2 linked regions of the Lytechinus pictus genome follow. The protein of the gene in region 1 interacts with the protein of each later gene in a pairwise test. Links are inferred from orthologs where the notes say so. Each region holds a gene or a part of one and is shown in the gene's direction. Other genes may lie near its edges.

The links.
Region 2: the proteins of DNA repair and recombination protein RAD54-like (region 1) and elongation factor 2b-like interact in a two-hybrid assay, tested with the Caenorhabditis elegans proteins (2 studies listed by BioGRID). The link is inferred for Lytechinus pictus from reciprocal best matches to the Caenorhabditis elegans genes rad-54.L and eef-2.

Annotation. Positions count from the first base shown.
Region 1 is NC_087255.1:21,260,244-21,269,891, reverse strand, and holds the start of DNA repair and recombination protein RAD54-like, read left to right. Parts: upstream 1-5,845; 5' UTR 5,846-5,998; coding exon 5,999-6,001; intron 6,002-9,648.
Region 2 is NC_087249.1:23,435,383-23,444,093, forward strand, and holds the start of elongation factor 2b-like, read left to right. Parts: upstream 1-5,143; 5' UTR 5,144-6,900; intron 6,901-7,076; 5' UTR 7,077-8,353; coding exon 8,354-8,595; intron 8,596-8,711. UniProt on the Caenorhabditis elegans protein: Catalyzes the GTP-dependent ribosomal translocation step during translation elongation.

The DNA of each region.
Region 1 (9,648 bases):
GACCTTGTCTAAAACCAAATTGTCTTTCGTATGAAATATTGTTTTTATCAATACATGTATAATTCAATGATTTATTATATACAATTTTTTTCAAATGTCTTAGTAAAAACAGATAAAAGAGAAATCGGACGATAGTTAGAAACCTTTTATTTAACCCCTTTTTTGAAAAAATGGAATTACGTTAGCCACCTTGAGTTTATCGGGGAATATACCTAACTCTAATGACATATTGCACATATAGGTTGTAAAATAAAACAACGACTTTTTAAAAACTTTCTAAAAGCGGATTGGGCCTAAACTGAAACAGCGAGAGAGAGAGAAGGGGGTGGAGAAGTGGGAGAGGGGACAAGGCGTTGAATTCAAATACTGTACATGCACCACTTTTTATTGCATTGTATGTCAACATATCCGTATTTAGCTTGCTTTACTTAGGCACCTGCCATTTATAAGCCTTTTAAAGCTTTCTACAGGTGTTCCCCTTTCCATTCAAAAATCTATGTAACATTTTTTTACGGTTATATGTATTTGATTTATTTTTCACAGTATACATGTATATACCTGAGCTGTTTATAGTACAAAATTAATGTACATAATTATTTTGATGTTTTTTAACGGAGAAGAATAAACAAACTAAATTGAATTGAAATCCGGGCAGGCCAGAAACGGGACATTGTTGATATCTTCTTTGTTGTAAACATGAGAAACGTTGTAGCGAAGTTCCAATTATCTCTTCCCATTTCCTTTCGATTTGATATCCTTGTTGTTTCAAGGAAAATTGTATTTTATAACTAAGAATAAAACTAAAAATCATATATACCATGCTTTTCAAGTAGATACCTCCACTTACTATTTTCTTTACTAATTTTATGTGCATGTACATACATACATACATGCTACCATATGTAGGCCTACGTACATGTATGTATTTTTGTAATTATTTATTGTAGTTTATTGTAAATACATGTATATGTGTAATGTGGAATCTGAAGAAATCAAATCGAATCGCATCAAAGGCGTTAGCTCTCAAGCAAAGCTGGGGAACGTTCATTTAACAAAATATTGCTGTTGGTGACAATGCATGCATGAAAATGTCAAAGAAACTGTACCTCTGTGAAGGTGTTTTCCCTATTGAAAAAACCCCACAGTGTCCCACAGTGTGTGCCACAGTGTGTTCACAGTCAGTGGAACACACTGTGAAATCACCTATACACACTATTGAATTTGAGTTTTCAACAGTATGAATCACACAGCAGGCCTTGTGAACACGCTGTGAACAATCACACTGTCGAGGTGTCACAGTCATGAGCATTTTAACAGCGTGGATGATATTTTCACATAGTCCACTATGTGAGCACACTGTGATCACACTGTGTGCTCACTGTGTTCTTTCCAGAAGGGCTATTTCATTTATTCGTTTATTTAGAATTCTGTACCAATTAATTTAATTACTTATTTATTTACTCATTCAAATAATTTCATCTGTTTATCTTTAATTAGTTATTGAATTTTTAATTTAAACGAGGAGACAATATTTTTATCGAAGCTGATGTATCCCTGCTAGAAATATCACGCAGTCACAAGACTGTGAAACAGTGTGTCTGGCAATGCTGTCTTACACACTATGTTGCACATAGTTATTCCCATGCGATTAACAGGAAAAAGTTTTCACTCTGTGCATAAGTATTCAGTGTGTCAACACTGTGACTTAACATACAGTAGGTGACTTAATCACGGGGTAAAAACAGTTTCATCACACTTGTTTCACTCTATGGTTAAGATATATTTGTAATTATTCACAATGATGACACACTATGTAGGCTTACCACAGTGTGAAAACGTATTCCACATTTATGGCAGAGGGGTGGCCACGTGAGTGTGACACAGTGTGGAACATAGTACTGACACACTGGCACACTTGAAAGTTCGGGGTTCGATCGCCGGCTACGGCATCTATGTTTCCCCGCGAGCAATGCATTTAATCGATAGTGCTCTTTATCCTACATTCAAATAAATGGAAATGCAATATGCACTCTTAGAAACTTTGTGTACTTTTTTCTTTTAGAAAAATATATTGACTTCCTGTGTTTCCTTCTGGCAGGGGCCGCGCGCCTTGGCTTATTATTTTATCCCATGTTGATCGTTATTTATGATTATGGTGCGTAAATTATTATTTTTATCATTATCAACAAAGACAATCGGATGCCACTTTCTATTTCATTTTTTGTGGGAAAATGTATTTCTTGATTTCATTTTCAATCAAAATCAACAGCGGATATTTATTTTTTTCTCATAATATGGAAGTATTTTTCATTCATGTGTAAATAATATATGCAAAATATGTCTTCACACTGTGATCACATTGTGTTGAAAAAATGCAACAGAGTGGCAATTTTCTTCACAGTGTGGTCACTGTGTGGAACTATGTGAAATTATTGTGCAGTACAAATGCAGCCGCAGTGGATACCTTCTACACAGTGTGGTTTTATATAATCTTCACTGCGTGGGCGATGTGTGAACACACTGTGATAAATGAATTTCACAGTTGCAAGTTTCGAATGTGTGTCGAATAGCATGATTGTGTGAACACAAAAAACAAGTGTGTTTTTCGTTATCAATCAGTGAGGGAATGAAATCAAACAGTGTGAACCGTTTCACATGTGTCATAATGATACACGCATCACACCGTGCCCACATTGTTTTCACTGTGTTTTCAAAGTTGACTCACCGAGTGTTGACTATTTCCTGCATAGAGAAGTCCACATACATAAACATATATGTATATTCAATATAAATATTTTTCTCAATTTTTATTTTATTTCTGTTTTTATTATAATCATTTGTAAATTTTGTGATTTATTCAAATATAAATAAATTTAACCTGAAATGACAAGTGTGGATGTGTGTTTGAGTGTGTGTGGGAAAGTGGGTGTATGTTTGAGGGGGTGAGAGTGCTGGGATCATTATTATTGTTGTTGTTATCATATATATACATGATATCACTCACCTGGTACTAGTCCAACCTCATTTGGCCAAAACAACCCTCCGTCCAACACATCTGTATTCAATCGTCTCACATCGCCTTCTTCCACCAACTGTTTTGCTATATCACGCACAATATAGTTCGAATCTAGAGTATTTGGGATAGCTGAAAAGGTGCTGATACTGAGATCATATCCACCGACTCCTCCTGGCCGGGGCTCTATCGCCGTAAACGCTGGGTTCCGGATAAGAAACCATCCCAAATCTCTAGCTTCCCAGGCCCAGAACTGCTGGACAGGCAAAAATAAGCATAGTATAAATACCAAATTTGATGAAACGGTCATTTTCAGATCAAATTCCTCCTTTCTAGAGAGCAAAATTTAGGAGTGTTAATCAAACTTGCATGTTCTGAGCTCGTTATCTCAACGTGCAACTGATCATAACTACTTTAGAATTTCTTGGTCCGTTTGTTTAACTTTACGTTTTGGTCTACAACATCAGTGTAGCTCCCAAGAGTTGTTTAATTAATTAGTTATGAATTAAACTGTGATCAGTTCTATGGGTTAGGATGACCCCGTTAATCTTAGGTATACCAAAGGTCGGATTCGTATCAAACAATATGTAATTGAGGACGAGTTCGAGAATTACGAATGACATAATTCTTGAATTGGTTGTTTAGAGATCAAAGTCTTGGTCGCCGCAAGCCTGTCGCTATGTACATGATTATCATGTTTTGCGTCAATGTCATACAGATTTTTTTTTATAGTAATCACCAAGCAAGTGCCCCTGCCACCCCCTCGGTTCCGTCGCCCCTGCATGCAATTCCCGTATCTATAAGTTCTTTCCATGCCCGATCAGGTCAATTTCTGTATTTAGCGTTCTGTTCCCTTCTGCAAGTGCAGCTTAAAATTGAATAATTCCTTTCAAAATGTATTTATTTCCCCCTTTATAGCTCTTTTTTTTTCATAGTAAAATTTTTCTTCCGTGTGTCACTTTTTGATATGCCCATGATATTTATTTCTCATCAATGCCCCTTCTCTTTTCTCGTTTGTTCGAAATTTTAAGTCTGTTAGTTATAATTATAGTGTCATTTCCTTTCTTTTCTCTAGGGGTAGTGGAATCGGGAGAGGGGGGGGCAGGGTGATAATCCAAAAAAATTCCATAGGGAAAAAGTATATATTTTTCAAAATGAAATGTGCCCTTTGTAAGATAATACTTAAAAAAATATACGCATCTTAATTCGTCCTCAACTTTACTCCGCTGCCCCTGACCTGGACAATGATATGCATGACTATGTCAAATTAACCGAATCTTTATAACGTCATAATTATGGCTGACTTTCTTATCTTACATCATATTTTGATGACAAGTCAGCTCGCATACCCCAGCAGTACCCCTACGGATCGTAGGATTTAAAAGCTGAGTAATGTGTATAATAATATGATATTGTGTATGAAGACCAAGAAATATGTATAGAGCGTATATGCAAGTATACAACAGAAATATAAACATACTGTATAAAAGAAATAAAGATTTTTCGGATTTTAATAGTTTAAGGTGAGAAAAATATCCACTCAGAGTCATGTTGAGTTTCAAATTGATGTTCGTTTGTTTCAGATCATGTTCACGAAATGAGAGGATTTATGAACCCTTATCTCTTCTACATCTCAAATTGTGATTTAATTGATGAAAACATTATGAAAGGTAGTTATCATATTATCAATGATAATTGTCATTTCTATTTCTGTTTCTGTTTCATTAAGAACGAAATAAGCAGCCTTTTTATGTTTTGGCCAAATTATTTTGGATTCCAGATAAATATTAAGTGGATCAAAGTCAAAACACAAAAATTTCATATATTTAATTGATTTTTTTTTTCATTCATTTCTTTTATTTTATTTTTGTAAGAGTTAGTACACGAGCTATACATCTCTTTTTGATTGATCAATATCCTCCCTTCTTTCCTTTCTTTCTTAAAAAATATATTTTGTTCTTCTTCCCTCATTTTTCAATTTAATACCATAGGGAGGCGGTCGGAGGTCGCCCCTATGTAGATGGGAGAAAATATAAAAAAAAAAAAAAAGAAAAGGGTGGAATACAATATTTTCTTCTGGATGTCATGTCAGAATCTATCACAATATTATACTTTTTATTAACTTTGTCAATTTTATGCGCGCTTGCTTTGTTTGCTTAATCTTTGGAGAAAGTCTCCCATAGATGCTATCTTCTCTGGTCCCCTTATTAATTTAGGCTTCATGCCACTTTCATTGGGTCAAACCGACTGTTTAAACCCCCTTTTGCAAAAAGCTTGATCCGCCACTGATATATAAACCAATCATAGAGGTGTATCTTTTATGAATCAATACTCAATTTTACCAGTAAACAAAAAACGGTATTTAAAAAAATCGAGTTCATATCGTTTAGCCGAGTTTCCCACTGTTTTCACTTTGAAGGAAATTACCCGATTTCCGGGTAATCCGGATCATTTTCAGGTAATTTTCGGGTAATGAAAAAAATCCAGGTAATTCCGGGTAACCAGAAAATTACAATTAAACTTTTCAACTTTAATATTCATGTTATAAATTTGTTTACCTCGATACGTAGCTCAAAATTGTGGTCTCGCGCCCCGCGCTCGCAATTCGTAATTTTGTTCCTATTTTAAAAGAGAGTGAAAAAAAATGTTGAATTCCTTGATTTTGGTCACTTGGACCAAATTTAGGCTCGCTGTATTATTGCCCGATTTTAGTTAGAAATAAAACTTGAAAATTCTAGGAAATGTCTATGAATTTCGGGAAATTTTGGAATAAGTTTCGGGAAATTTGTTTTGGATCTGTTGAAACACTGAGCTTTCCATAGGCTGCTGCGCGCGCTCCGTTCGAATTTTGACTGGCAAACCTGCGGGCTGCGAATCGCTTTAATAAAGTTTATTAAACTAAAAACTGGAATTAGTGACGTTAAATGATGAATGATGAGAATCGTGTTTTCAGCTGTTCTAAAGAATTAGAGAAGTGACAAGAAGATGGTAAGTTCTCCATATTATATTAAATGTACCGTATTAAAAAGTCGTGAGTTGTAAAGTTATTTAGAGACGGTGTCAGCGGGACCAGCAAGCCAGGCAGCAAGGCAATTACCGTACGGTACGGTACCTGAATTAGATTAGGCAAGGGTCAGGCGCCGAGCAGCCGGGCGCACCCCGCTGGGTGCTAGCTGCACAGAGCCGCGGATCCAGGGAGAAGTGCAGTGGCCAGGCCTGTTACTTAGTTAGACTAGTCTAGAGTTAGAAGGGTCTTTGCCTTTACAAGGCTTTGGTAGAACCTAGTCTTGAGCACTTGTTCACTGCAACCACCCTGCCTGTGGGGAATCTACAGGTTGGATTATGGCATGCCAATGCTGTACAGAGCACACACTTTGAAAAATAATTAAAATATCACTTTTGTGACCAAAATTACTAATTTCCATATAGGCCTAGGCCTAGTTGCAATTTATTTTTCATTAGTAACTTGAGAATAATTTTGTATTCACTAGAGCGCTTAAAAACTTGAATTTTGGGCATATTTGTGTGTACGCCCTCTATTGGTGGAAAATAATATGGCAAGAAAATTTTCATTTTTTATCTCTATTTTTAATTAAGAAAAAAATAATTTAAAGAATCAAATATACTTAAGGGCCAAGTTGTATGACAAATAGGGGTAATGGAAACTGTCAGTGTAAAAAAATCAAGTATTTGTCCCAAAGAAAAAGAGAAAATAAGCCAAACATTGCCATCCTTATTTTACCACACATGGAGATATAACTGAGAACAAGGTTATATCATAACCTTGTTCATTGAATGAGTGGTCTTGAGGACTCAAGGGGCCCGATTGCACGAAAGGGTCTTTGCAAGGACCGTCTTTCGTGTCGCCCATTTTTTATGATGCGCCATATGAAACGCATTTCAAATAAATTATCTGCAAACATATTTTATTCGTCCATTGAAATAAACAAACTAGGCCTATTTGTTTATAAAATGATGTGATATCTCACAAAGTTGTATAAATTTGATTTAAAAGCAAGCTTACGAATTGTATTTGATTATCATAAATTTCAGAAACACCCCGCTTGTATGATGGGGGGACCTAAAGCTACGCACTTTGTTTCCAAACGATAAAAACTATGCCAATTTTAATATTTGAACAATTATTTTTCACTAATTTGTAATAAATATTCTAAATATCCTTAACCAAGAAGAAAATATCACAAAACTCACGAATACGAAAATCCCGCCGTGTTTTCCGAACACCTCTTAATTTCGCCGCCCGATGTAGAAGGGGTCCTAAAGCTACGCACTCAATTTATCATGCAAAGAAATAGTATTTCCTGTGCCTCAATTTCTAAAATATGTCCGTATTATTATAGGAAAATATGAAATCAAAGTGAATATAACTCCGAAATTCCAAACATTTGCTGGTTTTCTCTGCATTCAAGGGTTTATTGCAGCCTCTGTAAAAAAATTGAATAGGGATCGTTCGTCACAGCTTCACACACAGAGCTAGAGTGCGCATTTATTTTGCCATTGGAATTGCATGCGCGATGAGTGGTGCGTAGCTTTAGGACCCGCGTAGCTTTAGGACCCCCAACCACTTGTACTGTAGTTGTACTGTAGCGCATTATAAAGATGGGCGACACGAAAGACGGTCCTTGGAAAGACCCTTTCGTGCAATCGGCCCCATGATGTTATACTTCTTCACCATGGAGTATAAGCTTGTAACCGATTTTGCAATCGGCAACCGATTCCATTCGATTTCACCACAATCGGCAATCACTTGCCGATCTTCGATCATGCCCCTTGAAGGAAAAAATCGAAAATAAAAAATTGGCGTAGATCTGGTTACAGTGCGTGATCGCTCAGAACATATTTCAAGATTGTTTTTGAGGTGCTAGCTATTTAGAGGTCGCATTATTCAGGGAGAAAGACGCGGTATTATCTATGGCGATGTTTAAGAGGATAGATATCTTCTCCTCCAACTCATGGTGATAGCGGATGCCGCCGTGAACTTTGAAAGGTCGTATTACCGACGGAGCTCACTGCGTTACTCTCTTACATCGTTTATGATGATATACATTTTATTTTCAACCTCGTGGTGATAGCGGATGCCGCCGTGAACTTTGAAAGGTCGTATTACCGACGGAGCTCACTGCGCTACTCTCTAACCCCGTTTATAATGATATAAATCTTCTCTTCAACCTCGTGGTGATAGCGGACCCCGCCATAAATTTTTAAAGACTGTACTATTGACGGAGCTTATTGCGTTACTCTCTTACATCGTTTATGATGATATACATTTTATTTTCAACCTCGTGGTGATAGCGGACCCCGCCGTGAACTTTTAAAGATCGTGCTACTGACGGAGCTTATTGCGTTGCTCTCTTACATCGTTTATGATGATATTCATTTTATATTCAACCTCGTGGTGATAGCGGAAGCCGCCGTGAACTTTGAAAGGTCGTACTACCGACGGAGCTCACTGCGCTACTCTCTAACCCCGTTTATAATGATATAAATCTTCTCTTCAACCTCGTGGTGATAGCGGACCCCGCCATAAACTTTTAAAGACTGTACTATTGACGGAGCTTATTGCGTTGCTCTCTTACATCGTTTATGATGATATTCATTTTATATTCAACCTCGTGGTGATAGCGGAAGCCGCCGTGAACTTTGAAAGGTCGTATTACCGACGGAGCTCACTGCGCTACTCTCTAACCCCGTTTATAATGATATAAATCTTCTCTTCAACCTCGTGGTGATAGCGGACCCCGCCATAAACTTTTAAAGACTGTACTATTGACGGAGCTTATTGCGTTACTCTCTTACATCGTTTATGATGATATACATTTTATTTTCAACCTCGTGGTGATAGCGGATGCCGCCGTGAACTTTGAAAGATCGTGCTACTGACGGAGCTTATTGCGTTACTCTCTTACATCGTTTATGATGATATACATTTTATTTTCAACCTAGTGGTGATAGCGGATGCCGCCATGAACTTTGAAAGGTCGTATTACCGACGGAGCTCACTGCGCTACTCTCTTACCCCCTTTATAATGATATAAATCTTCTCTTCAACCTCGTGGTGATAGCGGACCCCGCCACAAACTTTTAAAGACTGTACTATTGACGGAGCTTATTGCGTTACTCTCTTACATCGTTTATGATGATATACATTTTATTTTCAATCTCGTGGTGATAGCGGATGCCGCCGTGAACTTTGAAAGGTCGTATTACCGACGGAGCTCACTGCGCTACTCTCTTACCCCCTTTATGATGATAGACATCTTCTCTTCAACCTCGTGGTGATAGCGGACCCCGCCGTGAACTTCAAATTGATTTGAAAACGCTAGCTACCCAAAACATTTTAATAACATATTTCAAATCATCGTGCGTGCTTGCGTCTTCTACTTCATTTTAATTGCACTTGCGACTTTAAGATGATGCGTCGTAAGAGATCATTCCAATAATTCTAAATCGCTAGCACCTAAAAATACTTCTAAAAGATGTCCCGCCGATCGTTCATTAACCTGTGATCTATGAGAAATATTTTCATTTTATTTTCCTTTGCGCCTTTGCTCGGAAGATGCGTCTTTCGTTTATCTTTCTAATAAAAATCACTCGGTTTATTTTAAAGCAATAAC
Region 2 (8,711 bases), on another chromosome or scaffold:
TTCCTTTTCTGTTATTTTCTGTAAATGTTTCCTTTTTATATCAGATACACTACAGTCACATTTGCTCTATGGTGGCAGAACGGTGAATAAAAAAAAACAGCCGTTTTAAAGATTTTAAAAAATAGCTATATCATACTAGGTGGGTTGGTTACTAATAGTTTGAATATAAATGAATAAAACTGCTGTGTTCGACCACCGTACGGCTGCCGTAAATCAGATCAAAATGTGACTGAGGTGTTACACGCTCGTAAAAATAAGGAAAGAGGGAGGGGGGGGTAGAGACAGTTATGATATTTTTATCGATCTGATTAAGTCGCCTTACCTCCCCCCCAAGAAAAAATAAAAAAACTACCTCCCAGTCTCTACCATTAGCATTCTCCCGTGAAATTGTTCCCACTTACGAAAAGGACGGGATGTCGACCTTGCTCATGAATGTTTTTTTCCTCATTAACTGCTATCTTTTTTTTTGGGGGGGGGGGGGTGGGGAGGGGTGTTGAGTGACATCATGCATGGTTGAAGGAAAAGTTTAAGTTAATTGTCGGGATTTTGGGTTCGGCGCCCCCCCTATATATTCTTTGTTATTTTATATACGTACATGATTTAAAAAAAATCTCAGATAACGGTAAAAGCCAGTGATTTTATCTCTGTAGGCCTATAATATATAACGACGTAAACCGGGACGTATCTTCCCTTTTTTTTTATAGAAAGGGTGGGTCAGTGTATGAGAAAAAAATGTTTTCATGGAAAAGAATCAAGTTATTAAGAACATTTAAAATTAATATTTGTATATACTGCAATTTAAAATAATTTAAGTGAGGTTTAGGGATGTTTATTTCAAATTCTCTCTCTATAACATAAAAATACATTAATAAGGTTTGAACATTTCCGCAGTGGAAAATAAAATTTGAATTACATATTAATAATTATGAATTGTAATGGATGATTCTTACCTGATGTGGTAAATGCCCTCGTCCATCTGGAGTATTCCCTGGACCGGAAAGGCAGGGGTACAACCAGCTCAGGGATCCCTGGGGGTATTCTCGTGTTATATAATTCAGGCTAGGACACACTAACCCATCATGGGATCATTCAAAAGATCAATGGAAAGGGGTGCTTTTCACTGGTCAGCACATGAATGCTTTGACCCAATCAGAAGTGAAAACGCAAAAAAAAACATGACTCATTTTATCTCATGAAATGTTCCCACCGAAGACGACGGAATGTCTGGCTTCCAAGACCTTATCGGACAGGCTGTTTCATGTCTGTCAACACTGCGGCAACTTCACAGAAACAAATTCTTTCACACCCTCCTTATTCCGAAAAATCCATGTAAATTACTTTCTTTTTGTTGTCAACACCCTTCTGCATTAATCTTTTGAAGTATACACCGCGGCAACTTCACAGAAACAACTTATTCTTTCACACCCTCCTTATTCCGAAAAAGTCCATGTGAATTACTTTCTTTACAGTTGTAATATTTTTGGCATTTCTTTACGTAATCAAATTATCATTTTTATTGTGCTGTCCTGCATGAAGAGTTCATATTTTTTGGATCCTGCAGACTGAAGAAATAAAACGTTGCCTTTTAATGCAGGTTCCCTCATGTTTCTATTCGCCGTATTATTCAATTTAAATAAATGATGCCATGTCTGATTTGTACGTCATGTTCATTCTTCTGATGTAATATTTGTATTATGTTCATGATTATGACTTGTGAAATAAGTGAAATAATGTCATATCTCAAAATTGACGAAGAGTTCCCCATAGCAACCTTCAGAATATTTTTCTTTTGGAAAACTCACCGGCACCGACCAGGGACACCGAAGGAGGGGGCAACTCTTTTCACTTAACAAAAAAAAAAGAATAATAATTAAAAAGTGAGTATTCTCGTCTGATCGTTGTTACATGATGATACCCTTACCCCCACCCTAATTCAGAATCCAACCCCTGACCCCTACTGGGATAGCTATATAGAAGGGGTAATTAAGGGCCACCCCATCGATCCTCCATAATATCCCATGTAGGAAGTTGAGACTCATGGCGGAAAAAGGAGTAAAATCGAGAAATGTAAACGAGCTATGTAGGCCCCCTCCCCGTGTAAAAAAAAAATCAATATAGGCCTATTGCACATCCCTTGAAATCAGATGTAAATTCAATTTGACAGTCGCATTGGATACCTAATTTATTCATATCGGGTTACATTGGTATAAAAGCCCCATAATAGCGTGACTTTTTTGCCACTTTTTGTCAACGCTTTAAAAGGTCCATGTTTGAACCAGGGATATTGCATATCCCTGTTTGAACTATATTTTCACTCATGACAGGGCAAGATAGACGAAGTGTTAGAAGAATGTTCCCATAAAAAAGCAGATTACGGATGTAAAAGTCAGCGGGGGGGGGGGGGGGTGGGGGGGGGGGGAGTCTCTCACCGAAAACGTTTTTTTCCAACTCTCCGCTCAATCATATAAATGGCCTCCAATTTTCAGGGGGTTTTTTTGGGGGGGGGTGGTGTAAACGGGTTCTTTGCAGGTATTTTTTTTTTGATATCCATTTATTTATTTTTGCTAAGAGCAAGGGCGCAGGACCGAGGAAACCCATCCCCCACCCCCTCCGCCTATACATTAGAAAATAAAAAAATAACTGACATCTCGTCGAGTAATTTTTGTATCCTAATTTTACAACAATCAGTATGTTACTGTTAGAAATAAAATCTTAAATGTGTGTGATTGTGAGAGGGCATATATACATATATTGTGCGTAAACATTGCAACTTAAAACATTGATTTCTTAGATTTCTTAATAAACAAAATATACTTTAGTAGGCCTTAACAATTGATTACTAATCAAACTATACACACCGGGGGATTCCCCTATTTTAATTTAGCCCTGGGATTTAGCCCCCAGAGCGAATGTACAGTTGCAACGTACAGGTCCATGCTTTACACACGCAGTTTTTAAATCCACTCTAACTCCATTATTCCCATGCCACCATCTCGGTCACAGACCTTCTCACACACAAGTGTAAACATCCTTGTACAGAATTCCCTGTATCACACGTATATGCCGCCATTATGCCATGTGCAATATCTCACACACACATGACCTTCCAAAACATCTCTCCTTGTATCACGGCGATTACACGTGATTAACATTTGTAACTGAGGAGGGGGGGGGGCTGAATGTTCCTAAGAGAAAGATTGTGCTAGCCTTCATCCTTTCACATTTTAAAATTATTTTCATTTATTTTATTTGGATGATATCCGTTCACAACGTTACAGAGTTTAAACGAACTTTACAAATCATAAAAATTGCCTGAATCAAGACTAATACATGGTCTACGTTCGCGATAGGCCCCTCCCACCACTTCGCGCGATCTTCAACTTCATGACGATAATTACGTCACGTACACGTCATATGGAGGTTTTTGCTTTGCATTTTAAAATTTGAAAATAAATTCACTAATTTTTTTTTCTTAAATTAATCTAGATATAAGACTTCGTCTAAAAACCATCTTTTTTAAGAATGAAAAGTCCCAAAACGGGCCCCAAGATGTTTTAATTGAATATCTTTAAGTAGAATAGGGTGGGTCCTTCAAAAAGATTATACAGCTCAGCATGCACTTCCAAGACGGTCCCTGAGACATGAATTTAGGGAAAATCCCAAAAGATGCAGCAAATGCAGAATTTTTATTGGTCAAATTTTGGAGGGTGCCGCCCCCAAATCAAACTTAGCTCGCTCACACGCAATCCTGGTGACGTCATGGTGACGGGTCGCGTGTGCAAAACTTTGAATTTCCCCATTGACTTTATACACATACAAACTCTGCAGTTCATGTGGAATACAAGGACAAAGTACGATATTTTCCCATTCAAAGAACAAGTAGAGGTAAGCCATTCGAAAATATAGAATACTAAATAATTACTGACAAATAATTACCGATCCTTTTAATGCCAAATATATCATAGCTACCTGAAATAACTGAATTTAGGGTGAAATTATCAGTCAAGAGGGATGCATTATTGGGGCTTCGTAGGATCAACGGACGCGCTCGACGCACTCGCAATGGTATGTAGGGACTTTGATAGAGCAAGTACCGAATATACCGTTGTCCCTAACTCATGTTTGTTGACTGTTGATGTTGTGTGAATTATTTGAAAAAAGGGATGGTCCGGGCTGAAAGTATTGGTATAGCTTGATAAATAGAGTAGAATTCACTGAGCAAAATGCCGAAAATTTCATCAAAATCGGATAACAAATAGGCCTAACACTTAACAGTTATTGAATTTTAAAGTTTAGCAATATTTTGTGAAAATAGTAGGCCTAGTCATGAATTATTGAATATTCATTAGCCTAGGTCGAGTAGGTGGGCTGATGATGTCACATCCCCACTTGTTCTTTTGTATTTTAGGGCCTAGGCCTACCGGCATGACCGGTATATGAAATTATGTTTATTCAAATTTGTTTTCCTCCAAGAACTACTCAACTAGAGTAGAATTTAGAAATATTACTCAGTAATGATAATTGATATACCTATTTATTTAGGTGGGCTGATGTCACATCCCCACATAACCCAGGAAGCTTACCGTGTATTTGACCATAGTCACCGGACTAGGGTGATTTATGGTCTAAATATTTCTCCAAATGAATTGTGAAAACAGAAACTTACAATTACCACGATTATATGGATGAAGGTCTAACGAGTGGCAGTTTCCTGACATCTGGGCACAGACTGGAACCTCAAAAAAACGAAACGTTCTCTCCTCTACCCCAGTCTCGATCAGCCATTTTGTTACGATTTTTAACAAAAATGGCCGATCGAGACGGGGGTAGAAGGAGAGAACTTTTCGGTTTTTTGAGGTTCCAGTTTGTGCCCAGATGTCAGGAAACTGCCACTCGTTAGACCTTCATCCATATAATTGTGGTAATTGTATACTTTCTGTTTTCACAATTCATTTGGAGAAATATTCAGACCATAAATCACCCTAGTCCGGTGACTATGGTCAAATACACGGTAAGCTCCTGGGCTCCCGCGCAGCGGGCGGGAGCTCCCTGGGTTAATCCCCACATTGTTTTCTTATGTTATTGCATAAAATAATATTTTTTTTATTATTTCATAGTACTTGTGTGAATGATGACAATGTTTCCCTTAGCTTATAAGTATAATGAAATAAGTTGCAGCAATAAATATCTAGCTAGGGCCTAAAGCACTAAGCCAGTTGCCAATCATGTAGCGCAAAATCGCTCTCGCGCGCCTTAAAATCGAGTCCCTGAGTAGAGGTGCACGGCCAATATAGGAGACTCTTTCCAAAGGGAGACACTTTCCAAAGGGAGACAATCTCCCATATTGGACACTTGCTTTGCAAAAGAACAAAGAAACACCAACAAAAGCATGATTTTTTTTCCACCCAAAATTTTGTCCCACTGAGGTCAGAGCCCATTTGTTTCATGTGTGGATGACAACAAAAAACCTTATAAAAACAAAAGTAGACGGTGAAAAGGGGTAATTTTTCATGAGTTGAGGAATCTGCTTATCAGTATCACATTTTTATTTGCCGCCAAGTTAATTCTTTTGCAGCAAATGTAAACAAAGAAAATTGGTCTCCCAAACTGGAGACTGTCTCTGAAATTGGATACCCAAATTCTTGATAAAAGTATCTTGATATGGGAGATAATCTCATGGGAGACAGTCTCCCATATTGGACGTGGGCCGCTACTGATCACGGAGCCTTGAAATGCTTGCCATATAGACTTTATGCATAAGCGAGATGACTTGTCAACAAGGATGGATTTCCCTAAGAAATACATAATTAGACAGTGAGATCGGTTTGTTTCTCTTGATTTTATTTATCTATGAACCTTTACCGTATATGCAATAGGCGTATGAAGGTTCATAGATTAAAATTATTTTAGTATAAATATGAAAAATGAGAGGTTTCTTACCAGACCGATCTTTTGTAGATCCCTCGATCCATTCGTAAACACCGCAAATACAATAGGTTTGACCCTGCTTCGATAAGTGATGTTACAAAATGCGTGTCAATCGGTTTTTGTCTCACCTGCATAGCAGAGTGAGACTATAGGCGCCGCTTTTCCGACGGCGGCGGCGGCGACAACAACAAATCTTAACCGAAGGTTAAGTTTTTGAAATGACAGCGTAACTTAAAAAGTATATGGACCTAGTTCATGAAACTTGGCCATAAGGTTAATCAAGTATTACTGAACATCCTGCCTGAGTTTCATGTCACATGACCAAGGTCAAAGGTCATTTAGGGTCAATTAACTTAGACCATGTTGGGGGAATCAACATCAAAATTTTAACCTAAGGTTAAGTTTTTGAAATGTCATAACTTAAAAAATATATGGACCTAGTTCATGAAACTTGGACATAAGGTTAATGGTTAATCAAGTATCACTGAATGTCCTGCATGAGTTTCACGTCACATGACCAAGGTCAGAGGTCATTTAGGGTCAATGAACTTTTTCCAAATTGGGGGTATTTGTTGAATTACCATCATAACTTTGAAAGTATATTGGTCTAGTTCATAAAACTTGGACATAAGTAATCAAGTATCACTGAACATCCTGTGTACATTTCAGGTCACATGACCAAGGTCAAAGGTCAATGAACTTTGGCCATAATGGGGGTATCTGTTGAATTACAATCATAACTTTGAAAGTTTATGGATCTGATTCATGAAACTTGGACATAATAGTAATCAAGTATCACTGATCATCCTATGCAAGTTTCAGGTCACATGAATTAGGTCAAAGGTCATTTAGGGTCAATGAACTTTGGCCAAATTGGGGGTATTTGTTGAATTACCATCATAACTTTGAAAGTATATTGGTCTAGTTCATAAAATTTGGACATAAGAGTAATCAAGTATCACTGATCATCCTGTGAAAGTTTCAGGTCACATGATTTAGGTCAAAGGTCATTTAGGGTCAATGAACTTTGGCCAAATTGGGGGTATTTGTTGAAATACCATCATAACTTTGAAAGTATATTGGTGTAGTTCATAAAACTTGGACATAAGAGTTATCAAGTATCACTGAACATCCTGTGCACATTTCAGGTCACATGACCAAGGTCAAAGGTCAATGAACTTTGGCCATAATGGGGGTATCTGTTGAATTACCATCATAACTTTGAAAGTTTATGGATCTGATTCATGAAACTTGGACATAATAGTAATCAAGTATCACTGATCATCCTGTGCAAGTTTCAGGTCACATGATTTAGGTCAAAGGTCATTTAGGGTCAATGAACTTTGGCCATGTTGGGGGTATTTGTTGAAATACCATCATATCTCTATAGTGTATTGGTCTAGTTCATAAAACGTGGACATAAGAGTAACCAAGTATCACTGAGTATCTTGTGCGAGTTATAGTAGTTTTCAAAGTCAGCACTGCTGCTATATTGAATCGTGTGATGCAGGTGAGACCGCCAGAGGCATTCCACTTGTTCTCTATTATACTCAATAGGAGCATACACTTTTCTATGCAGATCGATATAGCAGCCAACCTATACAGTATGCACACGCAATATTACCACGGTAAATCATATACAAGAGATACTATAGCGCAAATAAAACGTACGGGCGGTTAAGGGCGGTTCAGTGTGTAACAGGAAGGGCAGTCTCGGGCGTTTCAGGGGCTATTTGGTTAAAGAGATATTTGGTTAAAGAGATATGATTGGAATTATAAAAAAATGTTGCCTTTATTTACCCCTCTCCCCTATTTAAAAAAAAACCAGAAAAATAACATGAGAATAATATTGGTTTAAGTGGCCATCTTGTTCTCTTTGTTAGTAGCTTAGTTTGGATACGCATATATCGCAAAAAGTCCCCAGATGATCAATAAAATCTCATTCAACCCTAAATTAATGCTAATTATGTGAAAGGTGAATAGGTGTATTCATGTTAAATGTGTTTATTGAAATACCAGTGAAGTTTGCCCAGCGCGAGTATTGTGACATCGCTACTCAGTGCATAATATTTGTATTGATTTCTACATGGTATGTAAGCAGAATTATCACTATTTCATTTTACAGAGTCTATGGGGAAATGGAAATTCTGTTTTCAGACATGCTGAAACAGACTTAGATTTTCTGAAATGGAAAATCACTGTCCCTGTAAATCTTAATGGTAAATACATGCACATACATGTAAACACGTAATATATTTGTAGAGGTAGTAGTATTGATATTGAAAGGTGAAAATACTCCTTTTTTTTCTCCACATGTAGGGATTACTAACTGAAGATAAGGTTAACATTATTTTCTTGCCTAATGGATATAAGTGTATTCTTCTGTACTTTCCTTTTGGTGTTTAGTTTATTTGGCTACTTTTAAATGTTATGTCATTTTTTTTTTTTTAAGGTGAACTTCACAATAGATCAGATCCGTACCATCATGGACAAAAAACAGAACATTAGGAACATGTCTGTTATTGCTCATGTCGATCATGGCAAGTCTACTCTGACTGACTCTTTGGTGAGCAAGGCCGGAATCATTGCCACTGCAAAGGCTGGTGAGATGCGATTCACCGACACCAGGAAGGATGAACAGGAGCGTTGTATTACCATCAAGTCTACGTTAGTATTGATTTGTAGTTTAATTTGAGTAATGTTTGCTTTTTTATCTACATGCAACATGTATCTCCAAACCTTTCTGATTTCCCTATGGAGGTACTCACACAACCCTAGATTTC